Linked DNA regions of Mus musculus. The protein of the gene in region 2 purifies or fractionates together with the protein of the main gene of each other region. This does not show direct contact. Links are inferred from orthologs where the notes say so. Each region holds a gene or a part of one and is shown on either strand. Other genes may lie near its edges.

Evidence for each region. Proteins that work in one complex are often made in the same cells at the same time.
Region 1: the proteins of Ubqln2 (region 2) and Psmc6 purify together in Homo sapiens (affinity purification with mass spectrometry, with the first as the bait; 3 studies listed by BioGRID). This does not show direct contact. The link is inferred for Mus musculus from reciprocal best matches to the Homo sapiens genes UBQLN2 and PSMC6.
Region 3: the proteins of Ubqln2 (region 2) and Rad23a purify together in Homo sapiens (affinity purification with mass spectrometry; 3 studies listed by BioGRID and IntAct, with this or other methods). This does not show direct contact. The link is inferred for Mus musculus from reciprocal best matches to the Homo sapiens genes UBQLN2 and RAD23A.

What each region holds. Positions count from the first base shown.
Region 1 is NC_000080.6:45,327,483-45,333,480, forward strand, and holds the start of Psmc6 (26S proteasome regulatory subunit 10B), read left to right. Parts: upstream 1-2,341; 5' UTR 2,342-2,365; coding exon 2,366-2,450; exon of another isoform or gene 2,451-2,621; intron 2,622-3,347; coding exon 3,348-3,427; intron 3,428-3,504; coding exon 3,505-3,544; intron 3,545-4,423; coding exon 4,424-4,476; intron 4,477-5,998. UniProt on the Homo sapiens protein: Component of the 26S proteasome, a multiprotein complex involved in the ATP-dependent degradation of ubiquitinated proteins.
Region 2 is NC_000086.7:153,496,245-153,502,016, forward strand, and holds Ubqln2 (ubiquilin-2), read left to right. Parts: upstream 1-1,987; 5' UTR 1,988-2,209; coding exon 2,210-4,126; 3' UTR 4,127-5,318; downstream 5,319-5,772. UniProt on the Homo sapiens protein: Plays an important role in the regulation of different protein degradation mechanisms and pathways including ubiquitin-proteasome system (UPS), autophagy and the endoplasmic reticulum-associated protein degradation (ERAD) pathway.
Region 3 is NC_000074.6:84,836,996-84,843,076, forward strand, and holds the start of Rad23a (UV excision repair protein RAD23 homolog A), read right to left. Parts: upstream 3,658-6,081; 5' UTR 3,571-3,657; coding exon 3,499-3,570; intron 1,961-3,498; coding exon 1,799-1,960; intron 1,656-1,798; coding exon 1,474-1,655; intron 1,334-1,473; coding exon 1,278-1,333; intron 1,140-1,277; coding exon 1,012-1,139; intron 773-1,011; coding exon 694-772; intron 599-693; coding exon 465-598; coding exon of another isoform or gene 384-464; exon of another isoform or gene 1-383. Other genes in the region: Calr (calreticulin precursor), read right to left, coding at 5,652-5,849, 5,949-6,041. UniProt on the Homo sapiens protein: Multiubiquitin chain receptor involved in modulation of proteasomal degradation. Binds to 'Lys-48'-linked polyubiquitin chains in a length-dependent manner and with a lower affinity to 'Lys-63'-linked polyubiquitin chains.

The DNA.
Region 1 (5,998 bases), on a different chromosome or scaffold from region 2:
ACGTCCTGAGACTGGAGTTATGGGACGATTGTGAGCCACCATATGGGTGCTGGGAATGGAACCCAGGTCTTCTGGAAGAGTAACCTGTGCTCTTAACAGCTAAGTTATCTCTCCAGCCTCTGCGTGCATATATTTTTGCTGAGCCATATAAATTGGACTGCCTTTTATATTCTGCCTTGTCTTTTCTTCTTGATGTCAGAATTGATATATATTGGTATGAACCTACTCACTTGATCAAAATAGTGTGGGAGAAAGGACACTCCCTGTCACTTTATTTACTTATTGTCTCCTTCAAAAGCCAGTTTTAGAAAAAAAAAATACAACAGAAAATTCACATAATAACCACACCATTTTCTCCAAGAAAATTTGGAAGACTGTCACTTTAGGCATTAATTCACATAACTGTACATGTATTTGTAAAGCATATTCATTTTTTTTTAGGGTGCTGGGAGTTAAACTCAGCTGTACGTTAGGCAAGTATTCTACCAATGTTATACTCCCAGCATGAGAATAACAATTTAAAAGAATACAATTACCATATGCCACATTTTGGATTAACATCTTTAGTTATATTGTCTATTTAATACCCATGACAACCTTTTTACATATGTACAATTATGCTGATTTTATGAAGACATCAAGATATCACCACCCCTCCACCACAGAGATCTGAGATAGTCCTAGCAGACTTCAAAGTTCCTACCTTGGTCGCTGCAGAAACTTTATCTTGTGTTCTACATCTCTAGCCCATTTCCTTCCAGTTCTGCTGGCCTCCTTTCTCTGATAGAAGTGAGACAAACTCTTTGCTACCTTAGAATCATGCACTTGCTGTTTAATCTCTTCAGAAGGCTCTCCACGTGGTGGCATAATGGGGCCCCTTCTGCTCTCAGACATGTTCAAAATTTATTCTCCTCCTTATCCCACAATATCCTTTTATTTCAATTGTAGCATTTACTACATTAAGGTATTTTTATGATTTATTATCATTTATGCATCTGTGCATGTGGACCTCATGCCAACTTTGAGTGGGTCCCATGAATCCAATTCAGGTCACCTGGCTTCCATGACAAGCGCGCCTTTGCCCACTGAACCATCTCTCTGGCCCCTATTCAAATCATTTCTAATTTCCTTATTACATGTTAGAATATTTTCTAATATTCTGATTACAAGCAGGTCAGTGCTTTATTGGGTAACTGAAAATTTCCTACTTATGCTCATGCAATTGATATCAAAAGGCTGCATCTTTGGGCTGGAAAGTGGTTTACTGGTTATGTGAGCTTCCGGCTCTTCCTAAAGATCTCTGTGTGTTTGTGGAGTGCATTCATTCAGTTTTAGGGTGCTGGGGGTTAATAAACTCAGGGCTTCTGTGTGCTAGGCAAATACTCTACCAAAGGTACACTCCCAGCCTGTCAATAATAATTTAAAAGAACACAGTCACTGAGCCTAGAGAGATAGCTCAAAGGGTATTCGTACTTGTTGCTCTTGGAGAGGATCTGGGTTCGGTTCCCAGTATCCACATAGAGGCTCACAACCGTCTATAATTCCAGTTTCAGGGGAATCATGTGGTTTTTTCTGACCTCCTCCAGCACCAGGCACACACGTGCTGCACACACATACATGCAGGCAAGATATTTATATGCATAAAATAAATAAGATTTTTTTTTTTAAATCATAGCTGCTTGTAACTCCAGAGCCAAGAAATCCGATGCCCTCTACTGGCTTCTGTGAGCACTTGCCCTCCTAAGGTATACACTAAGGCACACACATAAACACATAAATAAAAATAAATAATTTGGGAAAGAAAAAGGCTGAATTTGAAAATGTGACTCAGTTGGGAAAGCTCTTGCTTAGCATGCCGGAGACTCTGAATTCGATTTCCACACAGCACATACTGAATGTTCGAGTTTGCCTGTAATTCCACTAGGAAGCCGGTGGTGGGGGGGGGGAGGACCAGAGTTCAAGCCCAGCGCTGCAGAATGAGTGCTAAGGCAGTGTGGATTACAAGACACTGTCTCAAAAAAAAAAAAATCTTGTCATTTCCTCTTGCTTTTCAGTTTATTACAGATCCTTTGGCGTTCTAAGAAAGCAGTGACTTAATATTGAGCCAGCCAGTAGCTAAGTCAGGCATTGCTCACTCTGGCCTGCAGGGGACAGTGTGACCGGAGACGATCTTCTGCGCTTTCGAGGCTTTCTGCCGCTCTAGGTGACTGACTTCGGCGCCCGGAGCCAGAGGCGGGCCAGCCGGAAGGGGCGGAGCCAGTCACGGTCCCGCCCCAGGCCGCCTCTGCGCCCTCGCCCCGCCCCCTCCCCCGCCCGGGCTGCCATGGCCCTTCCCGGCATCCCCTATGAGCGACGGCTTCTCATCATGGCGGACCCTAGAGATAAGGCGCTTCAGGACTATCGCAAGAAGCTGCTAGAGCACAAGGAGATTGACGGCCGTCTTAAGGAGCGTGAGTGAGCCTTGACACACTCTCTAGTGCCTGGACCGGCTTCGGTCTCTGATAGAGCGGAGGCTTCGGCTGAGCCCGAAAACAGCGCCTGGCTTGGGAAGGCCCGAGTCCAGGGACGAGGCGCTTTGTCATCCCGCCCCGCGCTGGGGTGCAGCACCGCCTCGGCCGTGGGTATGGCCCCAGTCCCAGTCCGGTGGCATAGAGAACAGCCACAGTTCTGAGGTGGAAGAGGGGAAGATTAGAGGAGTGAGGTACAAGTGGGCTGGGGACATATTCCGGGTGCAGGAAGGCAGGCTTGGAGTCTCGGGACCCGGGGATGGGAGGACGCTTGAGTCAAAGAAGCTCCAGCCGGACGCGGGACTCACGGAGGCGGCTTGTACTTGGGGTAGAAGGGGGCTCAGTGGTTGTAATAGCCTTTCTCGTCTTCCCTCAGGCGTCATACTGAGTACCAAGTTTTCTGTATACCCTGAACATTCACGTTTTGAAAACCCTGCGTGATTTAATTAAATGAGAGAATACCGCAGCCTAGGATTCGGTGAAGAATTGCGTTGGTTGACTTAATTTAGTATGGACAACCAGAGTAAGCCAGGTGATCTTAGTGTAGCTATGGGAGGCTTGATTCACCTTATCGTTTAGTTTTGTAGCAAATCTGAAGGTGGCAGGATGTCACTATCGGTTAAAAATGTAACTTAAAAATATTTCCTACCAAGAAAATAGATATGATACTTTCTCTGTTACATTTCATTTTAAAACATGCCACCTATCCACTACAAACTGGAAAAAAAAATCTTATTTTGTGGTTTGAAACAGTAGGTTTGAAACCTAAGGTAAAAGAGACCTAAGTAAAAAATTTTATGCAGTTGTTTAATTTAAAATGTCAAAATTTTATTATTTCAGTAAGGGAACAATTAAAAGAACTTACCAAGCAGTATGAAAAGTCTGAAAATGATTTGAAGGCACTACAAAGTGTTGGACAGGTAGGTGATAAAGTTTGAAAGTATGTTGCCATTTCTAAGCTATTGGCAAAAGGTAATGCCCCTTTTTTCTTTTCCAGATTGTAGGTGAAGTGCTAAAACAGTTAACAGAAGAAAAATGTAAGTGGATTAACTTACTAATTATTAAAAAATAAAAAGCCCCAGTTCTTTGCCAGCTTTTGAAATGCCCATTTTATTTTGATTTTTGAGGCCAGGTACTTCTATGTAGCTCTGGATGCAGCTTCCTATGTAGACTAGACTGGCCTTGAACTCACAAGCCTTTTGCTTTCCAGTGCTGGAATTTTAGGCATGTGTGACATTATGGAAGGCTGTTTTAATTCATTCATATATATACATATACACATACATATATACATATATATGTGTGTGTGTGTGTGTGTGTATATACATACATACACACACACACTCTAAAGATGTATTGTTCTTTGTAAGTACACTTAGCTGTCTTCAGACAGCGAACAGAGGAACAGAGAAGGGAGTCAGATCTCATTACAGATGGTTGTGAGCCACCATGTGGGTTCTGGGATTTGAACTCAAGACCTTCAGGAAGAGCAGTCAGTGCTCTTAACCGCTGAGCCATCTCTCCAGCCCTTCTAATTCTTAATTCATCTATTTATGTATGTGTGTCTGTCTCTATGTCTGTGTCCCCTGCACTCATGTGTATATGTGTATGCATGTGTGTGTGCATGCATCAAAGGACTACTGTGGGAGTTGCTTTTCTGCTTCTGCCATGTAAGATGGGACCCAGAGATTGGCCTGAGTAAGATCAATGAGCTTGGGAGTAAGTGCCTTTATTTAATAACCCATCAGGATAGCCATGAAGTGCCTAGTATTCTAATGACAACAATACAAGGAGTTGGTCTTTGTTTACATAAGCTAAATTTTGTATTTACTGTTCTTAGTGGTCAGACATAAAACTACACTCACCATAGATGTAGATGTATTTGTTTTCTAACTTTGTTTTTCAATTTGTTCTAGTCATCGTTAAAGCAACAAATGGACCAAGATACGTTGTAGGTTGTCGTCGTCAGGTAATGTTTTCTGATGGGGCATTGTGCCCATAACTCCCAAGAGTGCTTTGTTCAGACACAGCAAATGACTAGCAAAGCCTGGAATTTCTTAGTCCCTAGTGTTTCATATCTGTACTTAGAAATCAAATCATTTTAAAACTAGAAAGAAAATGGTTTAGTATGATGTCTTTCTTGAAGAGCATATCAATTACCCATGTTTTACATTTAAACATTCAAAAATGTTGCTTACAGACTCAGCGGTAGTTAACTTTTTAGTCATTTGGACCAGAATGGGCAAATTGAAATACCTCTGCATTTCATTTTGCAGACTTTACAGTGTAAGTGAGTAGTTTAGAATGAGACAGTAGCATTTGCAATTTATAAACCATTCTATTCTTTAGGAAGTGTCTTAAGCATTTGCTGAAGCACTTTTTCTGGGAGTATTTGTCATATTGAGTTTACGTTTTCATTGTTGGTTTTGTTTTTTGTAACTGGATCTTGCTATGTAGCCTATAGTGCCTTTAAACTAACAATACTGGTACCTCAGCCTCCTGAGTACCAGGACAGTATTTGCCATTATGCCGGGTTCAGGTTTTAAAACGTTGATATAACATGACTCTAGAATAATATTTAACATTGAGGCTAAAGCTAATCTTAGGATTTCAGCATATAACTAGATAGTTTTGTAATCGAATACTACAAGCCTAGGAGCTGGTGAGTGGCTCAGCTGTTGAGAGCACGGGAGCTCTTCCAGAGGAACTGGGTTTGATTCTCAGCACTCAACAAGGGCTCACAATCATCTATACCTCTATTTCCAAGGGCTCTGGTGTCCTCTTCTCGTCTCTACAGCCACCTGCATGGTAACACAGCATATATGCAGACAAAACACCCATATACATAAAAATGAAGATTTAGAAAGTATTATAGGCCCAGGTTTGGGGATGTAGCACAGTAGCAAAATACATGGCAAGCACATGAGACACCTGGTGAACCCTACTAATGAAAATGGAGTTTTGTTATGTCTTAGTTAGCTTTTGCATTCCTTTCAAGGCCCTCTGGATGCCAAAAATTGGCATTTCTAAGATACTGTTTTGAAAGAGTTTCTTTTGAACTCACTCTGTAGACCAGACTGGCCTCAAACTCAGAAATCCACCTGCCTCTGCCTCCCAAGTGCTGGGATTAAAGGTGTGCGCCACCACTGCCCGGCTATAAAGGTCTTTTTATTTAGTGTTTTGCCTATTTTTACGCGCGCGCGTGTGTGTGTGTGTGTGTGTGTGTGTGTGTGTATTATATATGTGGTACATGCATGTGATTGTGTAATGCACCTATAGGAAGGCCAGAGCAGGACATCATTCTCTGTGTTACTGCTTTGAGACAGGGTCTCATAGAACTGGAGGAAGTGTGTGTGTGTGTGTGTGTGTGTGTGTGTGTGTGTATTATATATGTGGTACATGCATGTGATTGTGTAATGCACCTATAGGAAGGCCAGAGCAGGACATCATTCTCTGTGTTACTGCTTTGAGACAGGGTCTCATAGAACTGG
Region 2 (5,772 bases):
AAATCAGCCATTGCTGGTAGCCTGTCATGTTTCCTTCGAGTTTAGAGACAAAGCACATTTTTACAGCTTTAACTCCAGTTCCATTTAGTCATTGTGTAGAATCCTGTACCATTTCCTCTTCCTTGTGACTAGATGTTTAGAATGACTGCCTCTTGTACATTTATTTTCTGTTAATTTTTCTTTCAGTACTAGGAATTGAACCCAGGGTCTCTTCACACACAGTACGCATGTGCTCCATCAGTGAGCAGCAGCCCAGCCCTTCTAGCTAATAGAATATTTTATATACATATGTACATATGTTTTAAATACCATAGATATTTACATTTGATGTGTGTCAGTTAATTATGTTTTGATATGTATTTAAAGCAAGTATACTTTTCATTGTACATTATATCTATATGAGCTCTTGCATATATAATGATTTTTGTACTAGTCATGGGTATAATGGCCCTGTATTTTGTTTTACACTGAGATTTATTAAGGTACTGTGACGTAATGATTTTGAAATGCTGTTAAATCATCTCTAGGTTTTTGTATGGGAAAAGGATTTTCTGTGTTCAAAGCAAGAGAAATAAATGATTTCAGAATAATTTCTTCTATAATTCAGGTTTTCTATAACAGTAATACTCCATTTTTTGTTTTCTTTATTTAATCCATAATGATTATGTTAATTTCTGCCACGACTATTGTGTGCCTGTCAATTTTTACCTTTACTCTTGTCTGAAAATAATATTTGTAGTTTTTAAAAATCATAAACGCAATGCATATTTATTCATCAAATTCACAATCTTATAAAAATAGAAAATAAGAATTATTTACAATTTCAGCTCTTACTAATAATTACCTTTATCATAATGGAGTATAGCCTTTCAGATTTTTTTCACACATACAGTCTACAAGCTTTTTGATGCTGACACCTACACACATGTATTGTTTCCATTTGTTAAGAAAACCATAAAAAATAACCCCAAATATCGTCTATTATTTTCTCCTAACTACAGTGCATTTAATGTATTTTTTAGAGACATGTAATACTACATGAATTAGCCACCATCTTTTAGACACAGGGATTATTTTATTGTATGGCAAAATCATAGTATTCCTGTCACAGACCCATTTAACTAGCTAAACGCTATTTTTTAAAATGCCACGTTGTTTATATATACTTTTCGAATTGATTATTAGGTCTTTCTAAACAAAGGTGCAAATCCTTAAAATGTCCATTTGTATTTTCAAACTGCCCCATTACAACAATTCATACTACGACTAGCATGAGAGTGCATTTTCTCGGCTCCTGGTCAACAAGGTTTAACGTTCTTTTTTTTTTTTTTATCGCTGCCAATATGATAAACCCGAAGGAAAAATCTCATTGTGTTTATTTGAATCCCTTTGATTAGGAGCGAGCCTCATCTTTTCAGAAGCCTGTTGGCCGTTTCTCGGCTTCTTTTGTAAAATGCTCGCTCCCGCCATGCCTTCCCTTCCCCCAACCGGGCGCTCATTCTCCCTTTTTGCTTTGTCAGAGTTCTTTACTATTCATTTTTCGTCCTTTGCCTGGGATCGGTTCAATTCAGGCTTTCATCCTTTCACTGCCTCCCAGATTGCGAACCCACATTCTCCATTGGTCTTTCAGTGGCTGCTAAAGAAGCTGCCTCCCTCTTCCTCCTCCTGGCCTCCTCCCTTCCCCCCTCGCCTCGCCCGCCTCGCCTTGGTCCCCTGGCTTTTCTCTCCAGCCTCCTTCCTTTTCCTTCTCTTCCCCCCTCTCTTTGTTTATTTCTCCCTCCCTCTCCCTCTCCCTCCCTCCGCCCCCCCTCCTCTGCAGGGCAGGAGTTTTGCGCTCGGCCGCGAGACGCTCGCTGGGCTGGCGCCGCGTCAGCAGGGGGCGGGGCGCGGCCGGGGGCGGGGCGGGGCGGGGCGGGGCGGGAGCGCGGGCGCCGCAGCTGCAGGAGTCGCTGGGAGTGCGCGCGGGCAGATCACAAGGCGGCGGCAGCGGAGACGGCCTGCAGGACCTGCTCTCTCAGCCCTCAGCCGAGGCCTACGCCGAGCCGAGTGCGCAGCCGACGACCGGGAGGAGCCGCAGCCTTCAACTCTGAGGTACTGTGATCCGCGCTGCCCGCCGGGCCGCCCCAGTCCGCTGCTGCGGCACCTCCTTCCCTCGCGCCCTCTTCGCTCGCCAGCGCCTTCCCTGTGAGCCTGCGTCACCGCGGCCGCCATGGCTGAGAACGGCGAGAGCAGCGGCCCCCCGCGCCCCTCCCGCGGCCCTGCGGCGGCCCCAGGCGCGGCCAGCCCGCCGGCCGAGCCCAAAATCATCAAAGTCACTGTGAAGACCCCCAAAGAGAAGGAGGAGTTCGCGGTGCCCGAGAACAGCACCGTGCAGCAGTTCAAGGAAGCGATTTCCAAACGCTTCAAATCGCAGACCGATCAGCTCGTGCTGATTTTCGCCGGAAAGATCCTGAAAGATCAAGATACCTTGATGCAGCATGGCATCCATGATGGACTGACTGTTCACCTGGTTATCAAAAGCCAGAACCGTCCGCAGGGCCAGGCCACCACGCAGCCCAGCACGACTGCGGGAACGAGCACGACGACCACGACCACCACCACGGCGGCGGCGCCGGCGGCGACGACATCATCGGCTCCCAGGAGTAGCTCCACACCTACCACCACGAATAGCAGCTCCTTTGGGCTGGGAAGCCTTTCCAGCCTTAGTAACCTGGGCTTGAACTCGCCCAACTTCACCGAGCTTCAGAACCAGATGCAGCAGCAGCTCCTGGCCAGCCCTGAGATGATGATCCAGATCATGGAAAATCCCTTTGTTCAGAGCATGCTTTCGAATCCTGATCTGATGAGGCAGCTCATCATGGCCAATCCACAGATGCAACAATTGATCCAGAGAAACCCAGAAATCAGCCACCTACTGAACAACCCAGATATAATGAGGCAGACGCTGGAAATCGCCAGGAATCCTGCCATGATGCAAGAGATGATGCGAAATCAAGACCTGGCTCTCAGTAATCTCGAAAGCATCCCAGGTGGCTACAATGCTCTGCGGCGCATGTACACTGACATTCAAGAACCTATGCTGAATGCCGCACAGGAGCAGTTTGGGGGCAACCCGTTTGCCACGGTGGGGAGCAGTTCCACCTCAGGGGAAGGTACTCAGCCCTCCCGCACGGAGAATCGTGATCCGCTGCCCAATCCTTGGGCACCACCGCCAACAACCCAGACGGCTGCGACCACCACCACCACCACGACCACAAGCAGTGGCAGTGGCTCTGGCAGCAGCTCCAGCAGCACCACCGCCGGGAACACCATGGCTGCAGCTAATTACGTGGCTAGCATCTTCAGCACCCCAGGAATGCAGAGCCTGCTGCAGCAGATAACTGAGAATCCCCAGCTGATTCAGAATATGCTGTCTGCGCCCTACATGCGGAGCATGATGCAGTCGCTGAGCCAGAATCCAGATATGGCGGCCCAGATGATGCTGAGTAGCCCGCTGTTCACTTCGAATCCTCAGCTGCAGGAGCAGATGCGTCCACAGCTCCCGAATTTCCTGCAGCAGATGCAGAATCCAGAAACCATCGCGGCCATGTCAAACCCGAGAGCGATGCAAGCGCTAATGCAGATCCAGCAGGGGCTACAGACTCTAGCCACTGAAGCACCTGGCCTCATTCCCAGCTTCGCTCCAGGTGTGGGGATGGGAGTGCTGGGAACCGCCATAACCCCTGTGGGCCCAGTCACTCCCATAGGGCCCATCGGCCCTATAGTTCCTTTCACCCCCATAGGCCCCATCGGGCCTATAGGACCCACTGGCCCTGCAAGCTCCCCCGGCTCCACCGGCACTGGCATCCCGCCTGCAACCACTGTGTCCAGCTCTGCACCTACTGAAACCATAAGTCCAACCTCGGAATCTGGACCCAACCAGCAGTTCATTCAACAAATGGTGCAGGCTCTCACTGGAGGAAGCCCTCCACAGCCGCCGAATCCTGAAGTGAGATTTCAGCAGCAACTGGAACAGCTCAACGCCATGGGGTTCTTAAACCGCGAAGCAAACTTGCAGGCCCTAATAGCAACAGGAGGCGACATCAACGCGGCCATTGAGAGGCTGCTGGGCTCTCAGCCATCCTAATTACGTTTCTGTACCTTGAAAAAAAATGTATCTTATTTTTGATAATGGCTCTTAAATCTTTAAACACACAAAATTGTGCTTTACTTTTATTTTGATTCTTTTAAATCTGTCTACCTATAAATCTAATAGGATGCATTTTAAGGTGGAGTCCCTCCCTCCCTCCCTCCCTCCCTCCCTGCTCCTCCTCCCCCCACCCTCTCCCTTCCCTTCCAGCCTGCCCTCTCCCCTCTTTGTTTCCTTCATTCCTTTCTTTTCTTCTTTTGATTTCCTTCCTTCTCTGATTTGAATGGTGGGAATCAATACTGTTTCACTCAAAGGTGTTGCATGCAAACACTTCTCTTTATTCTGCATTTATTGTGATTTTTGGAAACAGGTATCAGCCTTCACAGTTGGGTGAACAAGTTTTGTCCTACAGATGTCCAGTTTATTTGCATTTTAAACATTAGCCTATGATAGTAATTTAATGTAGAATGAAGATATTAAAAAAACAGAAGCAAATTATTTGAAGCTCTCTAATTTGTGGTAAAATATTGCTTATTGTGACTTTGGCATGTATTTTTGCTAGCAAATGCTGTAAGATTTATACCATTCATTGATCGTTTTTGCTATTTGTACACAGTACAGTAAGCACAATTGGAATTGTACATCTAGAAGTATTACTGTAGAATCTCTGAGCAGAATATGTGTAACCAAAATAAGAAAGAATATAAGAAATATTCCTGAAGCTAGGTATGTCTCACAATTTTGTAGAATCTTACAGCATATTTGATAAATTTCTCAGTGAAAATGTTGGCTAGGCAAGTTCAGTTAAAATATAGTAGAAATGTTTATCCTGGTTTCTCTAAGTATACATTAAATTGTACAGAAACCTTACAGTGTAACATTGTGTCAACAGTTGCAGATTGATTGTATATGACCTTAATCTTTGTGCAGCCTGAAGGATCAGTGTAGTGACTCCAGGAAAGTGCTTTTTATCTAAGAGTTCCTCAGCTTCTCCCATGAAGAGACCTTCATATGCATTTTGATTTGTAATTGGAAATGTAACTTTTACTGGAAGTGTCATGTGATGTTTGCATTACTTTTAACTGCTATGTATAAAGGAAAGTGTATCTTTTGGCTCTATCAGTTATTTCTCTTGTGCACAGGGAAAAATGCATTAAAATGACTAAAAAAATAAAAAAATAATAAAAAATGGAGAAAGCTCTTTTATTTTGCCTTTTGGCCCTAGAATCACATCTAGAAGGGTTAGCTCCCCTCACAAGTGTTTATTTACAGGATTGTACTATGGGAAATTATTTTTGACATGCACATTTAGATGTTCTAATTATTGCCCCCAAAGGTTAACCAATTATTAATTAGTATTTCCCCTGCCCCCCCACCAGTATATTGGGAATGTGACTGGGCTTATTTTAAATAGATAAAATATGGGAAACGATAGTATCCCGGTGTCTTTTAGAAACAATATGTTGTTTTATGAGGTGGGGTACTGGGAGGATTGTTAAAAGCAGGATCTCACTGACTAGCTTTTTAGTTAGTCTAGTTCCTGCTAATTGGACTCAGCTATTAGGAAGCACTATTGTGCTACTAATAGGAGCCTCTAGTGTGCTCATGTGGTCATCTTAATACACAAAATTTATTTTCAGACA
Region 3 (6,081 bases), on a different chromosome or scaffold from region 2:
CAGGAGGTTGTGAGAGGCTCAAACAGAGAAGAATGGTCTGAAAACTCAGAGGTCCAGGAAATCCTTTCACAGCTCAGATGAGAGGGTCCCAAGGGACCTGGTATAATGACACAGGTTTAGGTCACCACATAGAGAGAGGGTCAAGGTGAAGGTCAGATCAGGAAGAAGGCCAGGACAGAGGAGCTGCAGACAGAGCAAGAACTGAGAAGAATGCTGTGGCTGGAGTCCAGGACCCAGCCAGACATATGGCAGCCTGCTCTGAGCCTCTGATGTCTTCAGCAGATGGATGCCCATAGCATCCACACCTCCCTAGGAGTCAGGTTACAATGTAACCTTAGAAGTCATCAGGGAGCAGGGGCTTGGCCTCTGCTAGTTCTGCTTTCTCAGAGCAAAGCTACCTCCCTGGGTGATCCCCTAAGGAACTGGGAAGGTGGCTGTCTCAGCTCCCTCACCCTGGGCCGCACCTGCAGGAGCTGAGGGTTTTCCTGACCCAGCTGCTGGAGCAGAGCAGGCAGGAGCGCTGGGTTCTGTTGAATCACTTGCCGCATGTTCTGGAACTGAGGCTGGTCCCGCAGGAACTCCAGGGGGTTCTCCCCTGCTGGTGGCAGGAAGAAGTGTGGTCAGAGCCCTCCCTGCAGGGGCTTCGGAATCCAGACTGCAGATGCCCATGAGGACACCATCCAACCTGCTCACCTGCTTCTGTGGCCGGCTGCTCAGGCGCCTGGCTTTCCTGGACAGAACCATGTTCAGGCTCAGGGCTTCCTGGAATTCCCTGTCAGGGATCCTGCTTTTTAGTTCTTTCAAACAGATCCCCTTCCCCTCTCCCAAGTGAGCAGCCTGACAGGACAGGAAGGTCTCATCCCTGCCCTCCACGTTCTCTGTCCAGCCTCTCTGGGAAGACTTCAATGGCAACACTCAATACACAAAAGCCTATGGGGTAGGCTCCACCTCCACTGCCTGTTGAGGCACGGAGACCTGGAGACTCCCAGGAGGCAGTGATGGCCCCCTCACCGTGAGCAAGTACTCCACAGCTCGGTGGGGGTTGTTGTAGCTGGCCCTCAATGCGGCCACAACCCGCTCCCGCTCGTAGCCCATGGACATGATCTCAGTCAGCATCGTCTCATATTCAGAGCCAGTCACTGTGGAGGGAGCAGCAGGGCCGGGGTCACCAGAGGCACAGGAGGACAGCTCCCAGACCCTCCCAGACCCAGACAAGGCTGTCAAAGGCTGATGGCTGGGGCTTCCAGTCGCCTCTGCCCTGAGGACCACCCACCCACCTAATGTGGAAGCTGCGTCTTCCTCTCGCCCGCTGCTACCTGAAGAGGGAACAGAGCTGCAAATTCAAGAGAGAGAAATCGGACCCTGGCTTCTGGTGGCTTGCCCTCCCCGAAAGTGCCTGGGACCACATAGGTGGGTACTGGAAGGCACAGGAAGACAGAGTGGGTACAGGGTAAGCTACTGCCCTTTCCTTACCCAGAAATGGATTCTGGAGATGTTGTGGTGGTTGACTCCTCTGATGGGCTCTTGTCCTCTCTGCTGGTAGGTGGGGGATGAGACATGCCTGATGCCAGGACTGGAGGGAAAGGTGTGGAGGGCTCCGGGACAGCAGTGGGTGAGGCCTCTGGGGGTGCCGGGATACCCTGGCCAGCTTTGGCCTGTGACAACAAGAAACGAGAATCAGGCAAGCAGCATCCCTATCAAGCCTTGCCACCCTGCCCCATCATGGCCCCACCCTGCCTAAGGCTAATCTCTCCTGGGCATACAAGCTCTTTGCCAGCATCCCAGCTAATCTCCCCACCTTGGTCACCATGACAACCACAAAGTTCTTCTCATCTATATGGTATTCCTTGATGGGAACATCGTCACTCAAGATCTTGCCAGCATAGATGAGTTTCTGTCCAGCCACGGGGAAAGCATCTCTACCCTTCTCAGCTTCTATCTTCTCCTTCAGCACCTTTACCTAGAGTAAGGAGTACAGGTATTAAACACAGAAGTTTAATAGTACAGTGTGCGTGCATTTATAAATAGCACTAACACACCAAGACACCCTCAGTGAAATCCAGGCATAGTTGTGCACACTTATAATCCCAGCACTTAGGAGAGACAAGTGGATCTCTTTAAGTTCCAGGCTAGCCAGGACTATATAGTGAGACCATTTCAAATAGAATACAATGACCATCACGAACCCTTAGGTTCCCTTCTTCTTCCCTTTTGTTTAGAGAAAAAGCTTTGCTTTCAATCCTATGAGATTCCTATTCAATCTATCGAGCTGACAGCAGTCTATTACATGCCAGACACGGGAACTGTTCACCGTGTGTGTATATGTGTGTGTGTGTAATGGTAGTGGTGGTTTGGGGACAGACCCCTAGCTCAGGCCTTGTATATTCAAAAGCTCCATCCCCAACCTGTTTTACAACTTGTTTTACAGAGGCCTGTGGAACAGAACAAACACAAGTCAGTGTTCTCATGAAGAAGACACTGATGTGAGAAGAAAAGCAAACTTGTATTTCCAATGGGATGTGGTTAGGAGGGGAAACAGTAATAAGAAAATGAAACGGTGTATCCATCGCTGGCCTCAAACAGTAACTTTTCTGTACTTACTGAGGTCATCTTTCTTCCCTCCATTTTTGGAACAGGATTTTATTCTGTACTCAACTCCAGGCTTGCCTAAAACATCATAGCCCAGGCTGGCCTAGAACTCCAGGTAATCTCTGCTCAGAGATTATGAACATGACTACCAAGCTTAGACTTCACTGAGGGTACACCAATGGCTTCAACCTATGTTTTGAGAAGGTTTAGGGGAGGTGGCCCAAGACAGCAATATCAGTTACTTGGAGGTTAAGTAAAGAAGGTTCACATGAGCCCAGAAGAACAAGACTAGACTCCACTCTCAAAAAGCAAAACCAAACAAAAGTTCATACAGCATGTTTAGGCTGCTGTTATGTGAAATGGAGAAAAAAAAAAATCTTGTCACTGTCATTATTGGCTGTGACCGTGGCAAAGTTCCTTAACTCCGTGGTTGTCAAAAGGGGAAAGTCAGGAGTCCCCAAACGACAACACTGTTTTGCAGACTCAGCAAGATGACACTAATACTCTGGTAAAGAATAAACTGGTAAAGAATAAACGGCCAACAAAGACGGACCACCAAAACTATTAAGATTAAGACCATTTATTATTATCATCATTGTAGTCACCAGTCGGCACCTCGTTGGCACTGAGGGCAAACTGTGCCACCTGAGCAGCTTGCAGGCTGGGAACGCGGAGCCCGCAGCTGACACGGGAGCCAGACCTGGGAACTCCCAGGGACTGGCCCGGGAACAGCGCCCGAGCCGCCGGGGCAGGGCAGGGCCGATCGGGGGGATCCGAGGAGGTCGGGCTGCTGGGGGAGGGCAGGGCCTGGCCACGGCGTCCTCTCCGCCCCTCCCGTTGGATCCCGGCATCCCTGCCCCCACCCACCCCGGCACCCGGTCGCTCCCGCCCCCGGGCTCCGGCCCGCACCGTCTCGTCAGGTTCCATGCGGATCTTGAAGGTCTGCTGCTGCAACGTTTTAAGGGTGATGGTGACGGCCATGGCGGGGCCGGAGCAATGCGGCAGCCCCGGGATCCTCGTACTACATGCAACTCACGCCGCCGCCATCTTAGCGCCCAGCCGCGCCGCGCCAAGCACTTCCGGGGCAAGTGTGCAGCGCCCGCCGATCGTCAGCGCCGGTGACACCCTCCTCGACCTCTAGAGCATGCGCGGCTGCACCTTACCTTAGACATGCGCAATCTTAGCTTTGTGAGCTTTTGCTGTGTGCACCAGCATTCCGCTGTCTTGGTGACATCATTTCTGCTAACAGTGATGTCATTATACCCACAAAATGGCTCCTAAGGACTTTTAAAGTTTTTAAGGTGTTTGTTGTAGATTTCTGCTCCTAAGTTATTTTTCATACATTCTGCCTATTTCAAGTGACCCAATTTGGATCTGGTCAAAATAAAAGGAATCTTAGCAGAGGACTGCCTAGAAGTTACCATCAATCAATGTAGAGGAGGGCAACTATGTGACCCCATTTTCAAGGACCATCTTAATTTTTGGAATAAATTTACACTTCTAGTTCATGAGTTCCCCACATCTTTGTAATCCTGCAATGACCTACCTATTCATCCAAACATTTTCAAGGTTCTTTTATATTAAATATGTAATTCTCCCCTCCATAAATTTTCCTTACTTACACCAACTCTTAAGGTACCTACATTTTTCGTGGGGGGAAGGGGTAGTATTCATGAAGCTTTAGACCACCCTCACATACCAAAAAGTAATGAAAATGTCAGACTCAGGATAGGGCAGTTCATCAGGGTGATTTAAGGGACTCTCAAACAGAACTAACATCACCATCCTCTTAGATGCTTGCTTTGCCCAGTGTTTCTATCCACACCAATGATCAGGCAATTAACCAAGGCCTGCCTCCCTCCCTTCACTTGAGTCTAGACTCCAGAATTGAAAGCTAGATCACAACTTTCTTGTGAAGAACACAGGCTTCCTCCTGCCCATTCTTCAACCTACTACACTAGAGTATAAAAGGCAGCCTTGAGACTCAACAATGAGTCTCTTCTTTTCCTTGTGGTGGGGATGGAACCCAGGCCATGCTAGCTAAGTGTCCAACTGAACTACATAACCCAATCCTGGAATCTATCTTTATCAGCTCAGTCCTAGAACCATGGGCCCTTGGGGAAAGTAGATCACTGTCCCTGAGCTCAGTCAGTCCCTTTGACTATTATCTACCAGCATGCACCCCACTACTGTGAACTTTGCTCAGCTTTCCTAGGTGTCAGTCCAACAGATCCATCCCACTTTTAACCAAGATGGCTAATATTTGAATTCACTAAATTCTAGTCAGTCTGTCAATGAGGTCTGTGCTAGAATCAAAACTTACACGTCTATGAGTTTAGGATCAAGACCTGATGGCTACTCTCCCATTTAGAGACTATGGGATACATATAAATGACATTTCTGAGACTCTGCAAACTCCAGTAGCTGAAACATACGTCACCCGCACCTGAGAAAGGCTGCTTTTAGCTCCTGATGTACATCCTCCCAGAGAAGGAGACACAATAGGGAAGACACAAAACTTAATTTAATAGAAATTTTGTTTGTAGTTCTTACACTCTCAGTGTGAGCTGTGCTAGAACTGGCTGCCCCACAAGTGGCCCAGTCCTGGGGGCAAGGGAGAAAGGGGATGAGAAGAGCCCCATTCTTCCTCAGTGCGGGGGGAGGGAAAACACCACCCCCTTCTCCTGCCCTCCTCTGAGATGCAGGAAGGAGAGCAGATGAAATCTCAAGCCTAGGGCTTCTCCTCTACACCCCTGTTCCTAGAGTTGGAGGGTAGTGACCAAAAGATGGAGAAAGGGAGGGACAGAAGGAAAAGATGTTGATTCAAAAATGAGAAACCAGATGAGGGCTGAAGGAGAATTAAAGACAAACACCAGTAAAAAAAAAAAGGGGGGGGGGTAATGGGGGAGGCAGGGGAACAAAATCAGAATCTACCCCAGATCTGAACCTGCCTGGAAAAAATGAAAAGTTCTTGAGTCTCATAGAGACATTATTGGGAGCAGCCAGCTCTGCGGCAGGGTGTTCAGGCCTCAGTCCAGCCCTGAAGGCAGGTGGTGTGGCCTCTACAGCTCATCCTTGGCTTGGCCAGGGGATTCTTCCTCATCTTCCTCCTTCTCATCTTCTTCGTCCTCATCTTCATCTCTGTCATCATCATCCTCTTTATCCTCAGCTTCTTCTTCCTCTTTACGCTTCTTGTCCTCTTCTTCTTCCTTAAGCCTCTGCTCCTCATCCTGCTTGTCCTTCATCTGCTTCTCTGCAGCCTGTGAGGACCAACCAACCATATCTTTTAATACCTGGCTCAAATCTGTCTGCCAGTCCTCCCAGATGACCCCTAGAGTAAACAAAGAGCTCTGACCCACCTTGGTAACACCCCACGTCTCATTGCCAAACTCCTCTGCATAGGCCTCATCATTGGTGATGAGGAAATTGTCAAAGATTGTCCCGGACTTGACCTGGGAAAGAACGGAAAGACAGGTGGTCAGCAGTGACTTC